Ovis aries: one gene and its partners. The main gene of each other region encodes a partner of the protein of the gene in region 3 in a complex. Links are inferred from orthologs where the notes say so. Each region holds a gene or a part of one and is shown on either strand. Other genes may lie near its edges.

The links.
Region 1: the proteins of LMNA (region 3) and ZMPSTE24 are in contact, whole or in part, in a crystal structure (PDB 2YPT), measured with the Homo sapiens proteins. The link is inferred for Ovis aries from reciprocal best matches to the Homo sapiens genes LMNA and ZMPSTE24. Residues at the interface, in NP_001393912.1 of Homo sapiens: Cys661, Ser662, Ile663, Met664; in NP_005848.2 of Homo sapiens: Ser264, Asn265, Ala266, Tyr267, Phe268, Val332, His335, His339, Glu415, Leu438, Asn439, Asn442, His459, Arg465.
Region 2: the proteins of LMNA (region 3) and BANF1 are in contact, whole or in part, in a crystal structure (PDB 6GHD), measured with the Homo sapiens proteins. The link is inferred for Ovis aries from reciprocal best matches to the Homo sapiens genes LMNA and BANF1. Residues at the interface, in NP_001393912.1 of Homo sapiens: Ser431, Gln432, His433, Ala434, Arg435, Met540, Lys542; in NP_001137457.1 of Homo sapiens: Val11, Ala12, Glu13, Pro14, Glu83, Asp86, Ala87, Phe88.

What each region holds. Positions count from the first base shown.
Region 1 is NC_056054.1:14,870,899-14,874,540, reverse strand, and holds part of ZMPSTE24 (CAAX prenyl protease 1 homolog), read right to left. Parts: intron 1,224-3,642; coding exon 1,107-1,223; intron 565-1,106; coding exon 412-564; intron 1-411. UniProt on the Homo sapiens protein: Transmembrane metalloprotease whose catalytic activity is critical for processing lamin A/LMNA on the inner nuclear membrane and clearing clogged translocons on the endoplasmic reticulum.
Region 2 is NC_056074.1:40,528,155-40,531,853, forward strand, and holds BANF1 (barrier-to-autointegration factor), read left to right. Parts: upstream 1-1,152; 5' UTR 1,153-1,230; intron 1,231-1,922; 5' UTR 1,923-1,938; coding exon 1,939-2,061; exon of another isoform or gene 2,062-2,532; coding exon 2,533-2,679; 3' UTR 2,680-3,057; downstream 3,058-3,699. UniProt on the Homo sapiens protein: Non-specific DNA-binding protein that plays key roles in mitotic nuclear reassembly, chromatin organization, DNA damage response, gene expression and intrinsic immunity against foreign DNA.
Region 3 is NC_056054.1:106,135,907-106,140,226, forward strand, and holds the start of LMNA (lamin), read left to right. Parts: upstream 1-1,411; 5' UTR 1,412-1,620; coding exon 1,621-1,976; intron 1,977-4,320.

The DNA of each region.
Region 1 (3,642 bases), about 91 Mb from region 3:
CAGTTACGCTTTCTTCTTCTTATCCCACTTACATCTATTCTCTCTTCAAAATATCCACGGTTTTTAGACACTGGAGCTCAGTCAAAGGTCATCAAAATTGTCAGTCATCACTCTGGTGGCAACTCACAAATGCACAGCCCCAAACTGCCTGACAACTGGATAATCAAAAGTAACTAACAACTAGCTTCTAGAATTTGTAAGAGTCAGTATAAGGAGAGGAAAATCTATGGTCAGAGTCAGCTCTCCTATTTCTATAGCTAAAAGCAGAAAACAAAAGGGGAATTTATATGAGTACTTATTTATATATCTTCTGCTTCTTAAGAACCGTACAGATGCTAACAAAGATTAAATCACAGTTATCCCATCAAGGTACGCTTTGTAAAAGAAAATCGAAACAAATATTTCACTCACCAGAGACACAACTAGCGTGAACAGCCAGGCATAAATAAAAAAATAGTCTCCCCCAATTTTAATAATGTAAAGTAGAAGTGAAGATACAGGTAATAAAATGCACTGAGTCACAACAAATTTCTTGATTGCATCTTTCATGAAGAACCCCAAAGTCTGAAAATATAAAAAGTCATCACAAGAAACTAAGAAACTGCTTTTTAAAATAATCAGTGAATAGAAAGGATACATTATTAAAGCAATTTTAAAAATGAAAAGGCAGTCATATAAAGACTATATGACAACAGGCAGCCTAAGACAATACATCAATGCCTTGCATTTTACAATTTAAAATAAACTTGTTTAAATGTTATTAGCTAAAAAACACTAGATGTTAGTAGAAGAGTTTATGGCAAGACCTTAAACTATGATCTTTACCATATCTGCAGTTCCTTTTTTCTAGATTAATTCATGCTGTAAAATAGCAAATTGTTGTTGTTGTCAGTCACTCAGTTGTGCCCAATGGGGTCCAGTTTGTGACCCCATGGACTGTAGCCTGGCAGGTTCCTCTGTCCATGGGATTGTCCAGGCAAGAATACTGGAGTGGGTTGCCATTTCCTTCTCCAAAACAGCAAATTATGTTTTAATTACTACCAGCAGAGGACAAAAGCACAAAAGATCTTCACACTGAAAAGAGAACATTGTATTCTTTATTTTACCTGTTGATTGAAACCATGTTTTTCTTCTATCACAAAAGTATTATAAAGACTCCATGGCAAACCAGTCAATGCACTGAAAAGTGTAGCCAGCAGCAGAAACACCAAGGACTGAGTGATCTAAACACAAGAGAAAAAAGGCAGTTTTTAAATATTAATTGATTCCTCAAACAAATTGCTAGGCAACAAGTCAATGAGTATACACTAAGTATAACTAGAGCAATGTGCTTGATTCTATGGCTAACACAAGGTCTAAAACATCACCTCCACCCTCGGCTTATTTGTAAGATGGGGAGGCAATAAAATACTTCTTTAATCACACAGGCACCATATGAAAGTTAACTTGAAGTCATACAGACAAAATGGTTAAAAGAACTTAAAAATGAGAGACAGCCACATATGCTGATGAATTCAGGAGGCTTACAAAGCTGATGAGACTGGGAGTGCTACTCTGAAGAAAGAGATAAATTAGTGGAACAGAAGAGACAGAGGAATTCCACAGAATCTGTAAAAGCAAGGAGAAAGAAAAGAGCACTCTGAAAGCAAAAGATGACAAGACGATGGGCCTGGAGAAACACAATGGGGCATCAGAAAAGCTGGGCCAGGGCAGGTGGGGCAGAGTGTGCTGAAATTTTCACAGAGCCCAAATCCAACAGAGACAGTTGTTCTCAAGGATTCCTTTCATTGCCTTTACAACAGATCCTTAGGAAATTAAAAGCTAAGAACTGCCTCATTTCTCTCACAAATGTTTTCCTAAGACAGTGGAAGACAAGGACTAATTAGCACAAAGGGACTTGTGGGGATGGGGAAAGGGCACTGAAGCAAACAGAACCCTCTCTTTCCCTCCCACCACATTATCACTCCCCCTCTTCCTCCCCAGTGGACAACTGAATTCTTTTTTAAAAAACATTAATTAATTTTTTGCTATGCTGGGTCCTCACTGATGCGTGAGTTTTTCTCCAGCTGCCGTGAGCAGGGGCTACTCTCCAGTTGCAGTGTGCGGGTTTCTCAATGCAGGGGCTTCTCTTGTGGAGCACAGGCTATAGGGCTTGCAGGCTTCAGCAGCTGCAGCAGGCAGACTCAATAGTTGCAGCTCACTGGCTCTAGAGTACAGGCTCAATAGTTGCGGTACTTGGGCTTAGTTGCCCCAAGGCATGTGGGATCTTCCTGGACTAGGATTAAACCTGGGTCTCCTACACTGGCAGGCAGATTCTTATCCAATGCGCCACCAGGGAAGCCCCTAAAACTGAATTCTTTTAGATGGGAGTATACCACCAAAGCATATTTGATTTGTCAGTAAAGATGTAGCCACTATGTTTCTAAACATAGAAAAAGGGAGAAGGGAAGAGGAAGAAAGGAGATTTGGCTACAACATGCAGGTGATTCATTTCAGCATTTGTCCCCAAATGGGAAATGAGATATTAAAAAACAAACAAACAAACAAAACAGATTCCAGGACCTTCTTTAAAATTACTGAGTCAGAATCCCATCTTCAAAAAATATAACCATATTAAATAACAGCGAGTAACATAATCTTGGTATAGGATATGCTTGCTGCAACTTCTGAAGCTCAAAAGCTCCAGAGCCCATGTGCCACAACTAGAGAGTCTGGGTGCTGCCAAAAAGATCCCGTGTGTGATGTAACCAAATAATTAATTAATTAATAAGTCTAATTCCCTAATCACTGGGCTTATTTCCCCCTTAAACACTATGATTGCAAGGGTGTTTTAAATTATTTTGCCTTAAACACTAAAACAGCCAGCACCATTCCCTGACTATTATCAATCCCTCCCCTTCCAATCCATCCTATATACACATCAGATGAATCTAAAAATGCAACTTCTCTACTTAAAAAATTTGTAATGGCTCTAAAAGACTGCAAACTCATTACGCTTTTAACGATTTTCATAATCCAATCCCCAAATGCTACTTTTCACTACGCTTTTCTAAGACCCTTCTACTCCTAACAGATAACTGTAAGCTAGCGTTTAGAAAGATGATTGAGTTAAGGAAGATATTAATACTCTAGTTGAAAAAAGGAGGTGTGACAGTCACACTGGGAAAACTGGAGAATACACAAACACTCAGGACCTTTTCTCAGAAGAACCCTAATTCTAACTCAGAAAGGAGAAAACATCTTAGAAACAAGATCTACTGGGCAGTGAGGGGAAAGGGTTTTGACTTATAGCTTCTCAAAGGCAACAAGATCTGGGCTCTAGCCCCATAAGTGAATAACTTAAGGTTCCAGGACACAGAACATTATAAAGTCCTGAGCCACGAGGGTGGAGTGATCCAGACCAAAATGGCCTGATGGCACACTTCACCTCTTGTCTGAGATGAACCTACTCATTCCAGCTCATATTTATAACAAGGGAACAGAACTCTGGAGCATTCTGAGTCTTTAAGTTAAGCACTTGCTGGAAAAGGCTGGGCCAAATCTCACTGCCAAAAAGTAAGGACGCTAATTATGAGGCCACTTGTTGGTATTCTTGAAAGCAGAAAAGTGAGTGCAAGTCACTCAATCGTGTCTGACTCTTTG
Region 2 (3,699 bases), on a different chromosome or scaffold from region 3:
AGCTGAAACTCCAATACTTTGGCCATCTGATGCGAAGAACTGACTCACTGGAAAAGACCCTGATGCTGGGAAAGACCGAAGTCAGGAGGAGAGGGGGACGACAAAGGATGAGATGGTTGGATGGCATCACCGACTCAATGGACATGAGGTTGAGCAAGCTCCGGGAGTTGGTGATGGACAGGGAAGCCTGGCGTTCTGCAGTCCATGGGGTCACAAAGAGTCAGACACGACTGAGCGACTGAACTTAATTGAGACCGATTTGATCTTTGGCATCTGCTGTTTCTGACCCTGGTACTGCAAGACAACGACTGATGCGTACTCAGAAGACTGTTGTTCAGTCGCTAAGTCGTATCCGACTCTTGCGACCCCATGGACTGCAGCACGCCAGGCTTCCCGGTCCTTAACTATTTCCCCGAGTTTGTTCAAAGTCATGATGGTTTCCAAAGGAAACTCCGAAGTGTCATCTCTAGTTGCCGTCCCCTGCCCTCCTCCTTTCCTATCTCGATGGAAAGATGCTCAGAGGGAAAGATCCAAACTTACTCTCTGGCCCTCGGATCCCACGAGAGCTGCCAGAACGACCCGGTTCTCCAGGCAGAACGCTGAGATCGCCTCATCCACGACTCACTTCAGAGCTGAGGCAACGAAAGCAGAGAAAAAGGACTCGCCGGTGGTCACAACGTTTGGAGTCGGTTTGGACTCAGGTCTGGGGCTCATCCGGTTCCCGTCCGACTCTAATAAGTCCGACAGGGAGGAGGACAACGCCTGTCGGCCTGAGTCGGACACCGTACTTCCGGCGCTCTCCCGGAAGTCTCCTGGTCACGCCTTTCCCCTTGTCCGTCTCTCTAATTTTTCCCACCACCAGGTCGGCCAAGGTTAAGTGGCTAAGTTCCGCATGCCGTGCAGCAGATAAATAAAGTTTTCTTCTCACAGGTTTCTGTTCCCTGAGGCCGGAAATGCTTCCCAAGAAGCAAGACTACAAAAGGCAGCCCGGCTTCCTCCGAAGCAACCGGAAATGAACTCCTACTAAGGGCGCTCTCGAGGTCTGGGTGGTGTCGCAACTCTATGACCCTAAGCGGCTAGAAGTGCCCAATGTAGTTTTGTTTTTTTTTTTTAAAGGCCCCCCCCTTGAGGCGACCCGGAAGCGGAAGTGGAAGAAAGTTCTAGTGGGCTGAGGTAGCGGCGGGAGCAGCCGGGTGGCGGGAGAAGCCGTTACAGGAACTGGAGCTGCGGGTGAGCGCGAGCCGCGGAACAGGGCTCGGGCTGGAGGCCAGAACGGGCGCGGGGAGGAGGGGGAGGCAGGGAGGAGAGGGCCCGCAAGGGCTGAGACGGGCCAGACGATGCGCCCTCCGAGAGGGCTCGGCGAGGCGCTGGGAGGGGCGGGGCGCGGCGCGTTGGGGGCGGGGTCCACGGCGTAGGGCGCGGCGGGCGTCCAGGTGTGGCGCTGACGCTGCTGGCAGCGCGGGTGTGCGCGCTCGGGCTGCGCCTTCGCTCAATGAGCAGCCTGTGCGGCGGCGGCGGGGTCAGGGCCCGCCGTTTGCTTTTCGGGCCAAGTGGCCATTCCAGACCCGAGTCAGTGCTGCTTTTGCCCAGCCAAGGTCACAGAGGGTTGACACTTTCAGGGCGGGCCCTGGGTACTGTGGAAATCTTACCTTTGTCCTGCTTGCGCCGCCTGTTAGGGCAAGATAGTTTCTCCTCGGGGGCGGTACCAAAACCCAGCTCCCGCAGGGACTGGGCGAGACTAAGCTCTTAAACAGTGAGGAAAAGACTGTGCGTGGACCTCAGTTTTCTCATCTGTGAAGTGGGGGGAATCGAGAAAGCCCCCATAACAGCTGCTTTGGCATTCTCTTCCTGTGAGATTGCCAGTGGGTTTTCGGGCGTTCCCTGGTTTTCAGCCCTAATTTCCCTCTTCTTGGGATTCCCAGATTAAGCTTGATCGAGATGACAACCTCCCAAAAGCACCGAGACTTCGTGGCAGAGCCCATGGGGGAGAAGCCAGTGGGAAGCCTGGCCGGGATTGGCGAAGTCCTGGGCAAGAAACTGGAGGAAAGGGGCTTTGATAAGGTGTGGAGTGGCTGCCTGTAGTTGGGAGGGGGGCGAGGCGCGACAACAGCATTTCCCGGCAGCTGGGGAGTGAGGAGGGTGTGTGTATCTGTTGGGGAGTGGACGCTCCTGTGTGATCGGCAGAGTCAGCCGGGCAGAACCCACCCTGCCTCTTGGGCTCATGTGTGGGGAGCCACAGGAAAGTGGCCCTTTTTTCCCCCGTGATGTTTATTTGTTTCTGTTTGCCCTGGGGTCTTAGTTGCAGCTTGCAGGATCTTTCATTGTGACTCACAGGCTCCAGAACCCACGGGCTTAGTTGCCCCACAGCAAGTAGGATTGTAGATTCCGGGCCAGGGATTGAACTCATGTCCCCTGAATTGCAAGACAGATTATTCACCACTGGACCAGCAGGGAAGTCCCAGGAAGTGGTCGTCTTGTTCTTAGTCCTACACAGCACTCGGCAGCCCATCTTTTGCTTTGCCCGTTTTGCAGGCCTATGTGGTCCTCGGCCAGTTTCTGGTCCTAAAGAAAGATGAAGACCTCTTCCGGGAATGGCTGAAGGACACGTGTGGCGCCAATGCCAAGCAGTCCCGGGACTGCTTTGGCTGCCTTCGAGAGTGGTGTGATGCCTTCTTGTGATGCTCTCTGGGGAGCCCCCGATCCCAAGCCCCAGCATTGAGTCTCCAGAGTTTGCAGCCTAGTGAGGACTCCTCCTCCGTCCTCTACAAAAGAAGAGATTGCTGTTGTGCACACCTCCCATGTACTCCAGGGCCTTTGGGGAGTTCTCTCCCCTCACCGTTTCAACTTTTTTGGAATTCTCACCCTTGCATGCATTTTCCTTTTCCTTTCCCTGCCAGTTTCGTGACAATAATTACCAGCTTTTCTGAGTGGATTCCTGGCCCTGTCCCTCACCCCCACCCCCACCTGTGGTCTCTTTTATGCCATTTGGTAGTCTTTTTGGCAGAACAGTCACTGTCCTTGTAAAGTTTTATAAATCAATAAAGCCAGTGGCCTTCATGACTGGGCTTTGTATGTGGGAAGCAGGCAGGCTGGGAGTTGCCTGTTCCCCAGGGACTGACCAGGTTTGCCACACTGCTTATCAGTGCAGATCGAAACTGGCAGCTTCCCTCACACTCCCAAGGGCGGCCATCCTGGCAATACGGGCCTTGGGCAGGTGCCTTGAAGTGTCTCAATCCCTCACCAACGTGGGAGAGTGAGTGGGTTGGTTCCTTCCTGGGATCCAGACATCCGTGTGGTCAACAGCTGGGTTAGTCAGCACCTGGTGGAAAGTCCGAGGGAGTCAGAGCAGGAAAAGGGTGGATGGGATGTGGACTGAGGTCTACCTGCCATTGGTCATGTGTTCTCCTGGTCTCTGGGATGAGTGGGCGGGGCTCATGCAGTCCGCCCTGTTCTCAGGGAGGCAGAAAGTGTGTGGGCAACCCAACTGGGTGGGCAGGCTTGAGTGAGTTACACTTGTATTTGGTATATCTTCATCATCTGTTTATCGGACTTACTATGAACCAGGTTCAGAGCTAAGGTTTGTGTAAACATTTTTTTTTCATTCATAATAAGTGTTAGTTTTGTTTTCCACAGATGAAACTAGAGGGTCAGGCTGACTCCATGGACTTACTACTGGGAAGTAGCCAGACTGGTCCTCAA
Region 3 (4,320 bases):
GAGAGGCCCAGGGTCAGGGCAGGAAAGCACATGGGTTCTGGAGCCTCAGCCTCTGCCACCTCTTAGAGGTGATGAGATGAGATGGTTGGTGGGGCCGGGGCCCGGATGGGAATGGGGAGTAGGAGGCTGATTAAAGGGGTCTCCCGAGAGTCCTGAGGATGGAAGCTCAGGGACGTGGATGATCCTGTTTTGTGAGAGGGCCTGGCCCCTCCCCGGAGCCAGTGGCAAAGCAGACCTGGTCAGAGAGGAATGTGGAGATAAGTGCGGTGCTGGCCCAGCAGTCAGCAAGGCTATGGGCGCCTTTGCTGTCTTCACCCCCATCACCCCCCTTTTCTGGCTGAAACCAGGATAGAGACCCAAAATTGGCTGTCCAGCCCCCAGCCCTGCTCCCCCTTTCAGGCCCCTTTGGGAACCACAAAAATTTGGGACCTGGTGTCCTGGCAATGTGATGAACGCATGCACAGCTCTGGTATCTGTTTTAAATTATCCATTAAAATAAGTACAGTCCTGGAAAAAAAAATAAGTACAGTTCTGGGGTTGGTGGGCTGGGCTGGGCTGGGCTGAGGACTAGAAAGGGACCAAAGCTGGGAGGAACCTCAGGCAGGCTCTTTTTCTGACTGCTGGGGTCCAAAGGAAGGGGATGGGGTGGGCAGTACTTGGGTCCTATTCTTGACCTTTTCTGGGGCCTCGGGGTTGTTCTTTGGGTCTACGATCCAATGGTTGATTTCAAAGGGAGATTAAACTGGGGCAGAAAATAGGAAAAGAATAACCCCAAACTCTGGTCCCCACCCTGAATTTGAGGGTGTAAAAGGAACTCAGGATCCAGAACTTTGTGGCAGCTCTCCCTCCAACCACCCCAGGGAACCCAGGCATATTTCCCCACCCCACCCTGGCATACTGAGATGTGGCTTTGAATGGACTGCCCACTCATGGAGGTGGGGGGTGGGGGAGTAGGGGTGACTCACTATTACTATGGGGAGGAAAAGGGGGGCCAGTGGTGGAAGAGTGAGTCACCCTCATGGGCACCAGCCTCAGCCTCCCCCCACTTTCCTGGATCTGCCTGCCTGGCGCCCTCCCTTGCTTTGTGCCTACTGCCCCTCTTCCCCCTGCCCTTTGCCCACCCAGCCTCACCCCTTGGCTCTGCCCATTTCCCCCTCTAAGGCCAAAGGCAGTGGGGGCAAGCTTTTAGCTTGGATCGCTGAGCAGGTAGAGACCTAGAGACGAGCTTCAGGGAAGCCCCAGGCACGTGGGGGTGCCTGAGGGAGGGTGGGGCCCTACCCCGGGGCTGTCGTCTCCCCTGCTCACCCCTCCCTCTCCCACCCCTGTGGGTTAGCGACGGCCCCTTTAAGAGAGTGGCCCCTCCTCCCATTCCCTAGACCTATTAGAGCCTTTGCCCGGGAGCCGGTGACTCAGAGTGTTCGCGGGAGCTCCGCATCCACACCGGCCAACCGAGATCCAGAGGTCTGACAGCGCCCGGCCCAGATCCACAAGCCTGCCAGGAGCCAGCCGAGAGCCAGCCGGCCGGCGCGCTCCTACCCCAGCAGTCTCTGTCCTTCGGCCTGAGCCCCGCGTCCTTCCCGGGACCTCTGCCCCTCGGGCAGTGCTGCCACCCTGCCGGCCATGGAGACCCCGTCCCAGCGGCGCGCCACCCGCAGCGGGGCGCAGGCCAGCTCCACCCCGCTGTCACCCACCCGCATCACCCGGCTGCAGGAGAAGGAGGACCTACAGGAGCTCAATGACCGCTTGGCTGTCTACATCGACCGGGTGCGCTCGCTGGAAACGGAGAATGCAGGTCTGCGCCTTCGCATCACTGAGTCTGAGGAGGTGGTCAGCCGCGAGGTGTCTGGCATAAAGGCCGCCTACGAAGCCGAGCTGGGGGATGCCCGCAAGACCCTCGACTCGGTGGCCAAGGAGCGCGCCCGCCTGCAGCTGGAGCTGAGCAAAGTGCGAGAGGAGTTCAAGGAGCTCAAGGCGCGGTGAGTGCCCCAGGTGGCGGCGTGGGGCCGGGAGGGGCAGTGAGGGCAGAGGGACTGCCGCCCCTGCCTGGGCTCCAGGCCGTTGGTAACGTTGCCGTATAGTTTCCTCCCTCCCGGAACTGCCCCCAGCGAGTGCCTGGCAGTGCCAAGGGAAATTGTCAAGACAGGACTGAGAAGGGAGAGGTCTCTGGGAGAGGGTGGGGTATATAAGGAATGGCGGGGTTCATCAGGGCCAAGTAGGAGCTGGTGGCAGGCCCGCAATCTGTCAGGGTGGGATTTGCCAGTCATTTGGGGCCTGAGAGAGGGCCTTGAGCAAAGCCGAACTGGCCTTGCCAGGTCTAAGACATCTAGGCGCCCAAGACACTTAGGAGTGGGTGAGAGGGTCCTGTTGGAACTTTCTTGGCAGCCTTGGCACCGTGCCAACCTTGCCCAGCCTGTCTCTGAAGACATGACTCCCACTAAAACAGAGCTCCTAGGCTGGGAGATGTCTAGTGGTGCCAGAGAGAGGTCACCAAAGCCGGGTGACCCCCTTTTCCCCCTGCAGGGGCACAGCGATGGCCCCCACTGCACAACCCTTTCCCAGGCTCTTGTTAAGAGTTTTGAAGTGCTCCTTTACTCCCTGCATGTCTGGGACTTCCCCTGGCCTCTGACAGGCCCACCGATCAACTCTAGGAGAGCCGCTCCCCCGCAGCTCCCACAGCCCTTGGCCTGCTTGGCCCAGGAATGCAAGGGAGGGAGGGAGACGGAGGGCAGAGGCTCCCGGCTCAGGAAGTTGTGTTATGTATGCCCAGGTCTGTACCTCCCCTTCCCCATCTCCCCACCCTCACCCTCTGCCTAGTCCCTCCCTGCCTCCCTTCTTGGGGTGAGCCACTTTCATTTTCCCGGCCAAGCCTAGCAGCCTCTGCTCTGGCCGGCCCTCTCAGCCACTGGGACATTTTTTTTGTTATTGTTCTTTGCCTTATTAAACTCCTGGAATACTGTGACATTTTTGAAATCCAGCCGTTGGAAGACTCAGGCCCCTCCTACCTTACCCATCCCTGCCCCACCCTACCGCACCCTACTTGTCTCCTCCCTCTTCTCTGAAAAGGCCTTTGGAGCTGGGAAGTTTAGGCCCTCTTCAGCTCCCCAAGGATTTGTTTTCTGAGAAGACCTCAGCCAGAGAGCACTAAGGTGCTTGGAGACCCCTGGCTGAGGCTGTAGTGGTTGGTCTTCTCTTCTTCCCCTTTGCGTCGTCTTCTCCAGGCTCATGCTCTTCTCAGAAGCGCTGTGAATTTGCTACTCTTTATACCCCTTCGCTAGCCCCCAGCCCCTGGCATGGTGGGTGTGGCAGATGTATCATCCCCTAGTGAAGAGTAGATGGAAATGGTGTGGGTAGGCAGGTGACTCTCCCCCCCACCACCCCCCGCACCCCCAAGCCCAGGCTTGCCAGGGGTCAGTTCCCTGATCAGACCAGGGATCCAAAGCCAGGAATCCTAACCATTAGGCCACCAGGGAACTCAGAGTGACTATTTCTGTTGAAAGGGATCATTCCTGTCATTGTCCACTAGTGATATGAATAACTTAGTTAACAGGGCAGACAAGAGGCAAGCTAGGGGAGTCCCAGAGAATTAGTCTTCCAAACTAGCTTACCCAGCTACCGAACTACTACCTTGCGGGTCCCTGCCAAGGGCATTCTTAGCAGGTCTTTTTCTGGGGAAGGTTTTGACCAGGGAACAGAACGAGTGGAGTCTATGGTCTCTCGCTAACCCAGCCACACCAGTCTGTCTCTGCCTCCTGGTGCAGCTGTCCCGGTCTGGGACACCAGGCGGGTGTGTGCGCACGTGGGACAGGGCCGGGGGTGGTGTGTGTACTTGTTATATTTAGCTGCCTGCCTCTCCTCTCCCCCACTGATCCTGGCTGGGGGTGCTGGGCTTCCGGGAGAGGGGGGGTGGTTTTGCACACCTGGATCCTAGGCTGATAGGAGGTTGGGCGGAGACAAAGAGGGCTCACTTGAGGTTTCTGTCCCCTTCTATGTCCCCAGTGGGAGGAGCAAGGATTTGTTGCTCCCTTTTGTGTCTGCTTTGCTCAGGGTGAGGTGAAGAACGCCATGAAGAATTTGGGAGAGGAAGAAAGGCATTGTCCTAACTCCTCCCACTAAAGCCTAGAGAGAAGGTGTTGTCTGGTTTAATGTTTAATTAGAGCTCAGAGTTCAGGGCCAGGCTTTGGGTTGGGATGCAGAGCTGTCTGTAAGGTTTTGTGGCGATTCCTGGCCCAGCCTGGGTACCTTGACCACACCCAGGGCTTTGGGGCCCCCTCTCATCAGACTGGGTTACAGGCTCCAAGCAGAAACACTGCTCCTGCCTGC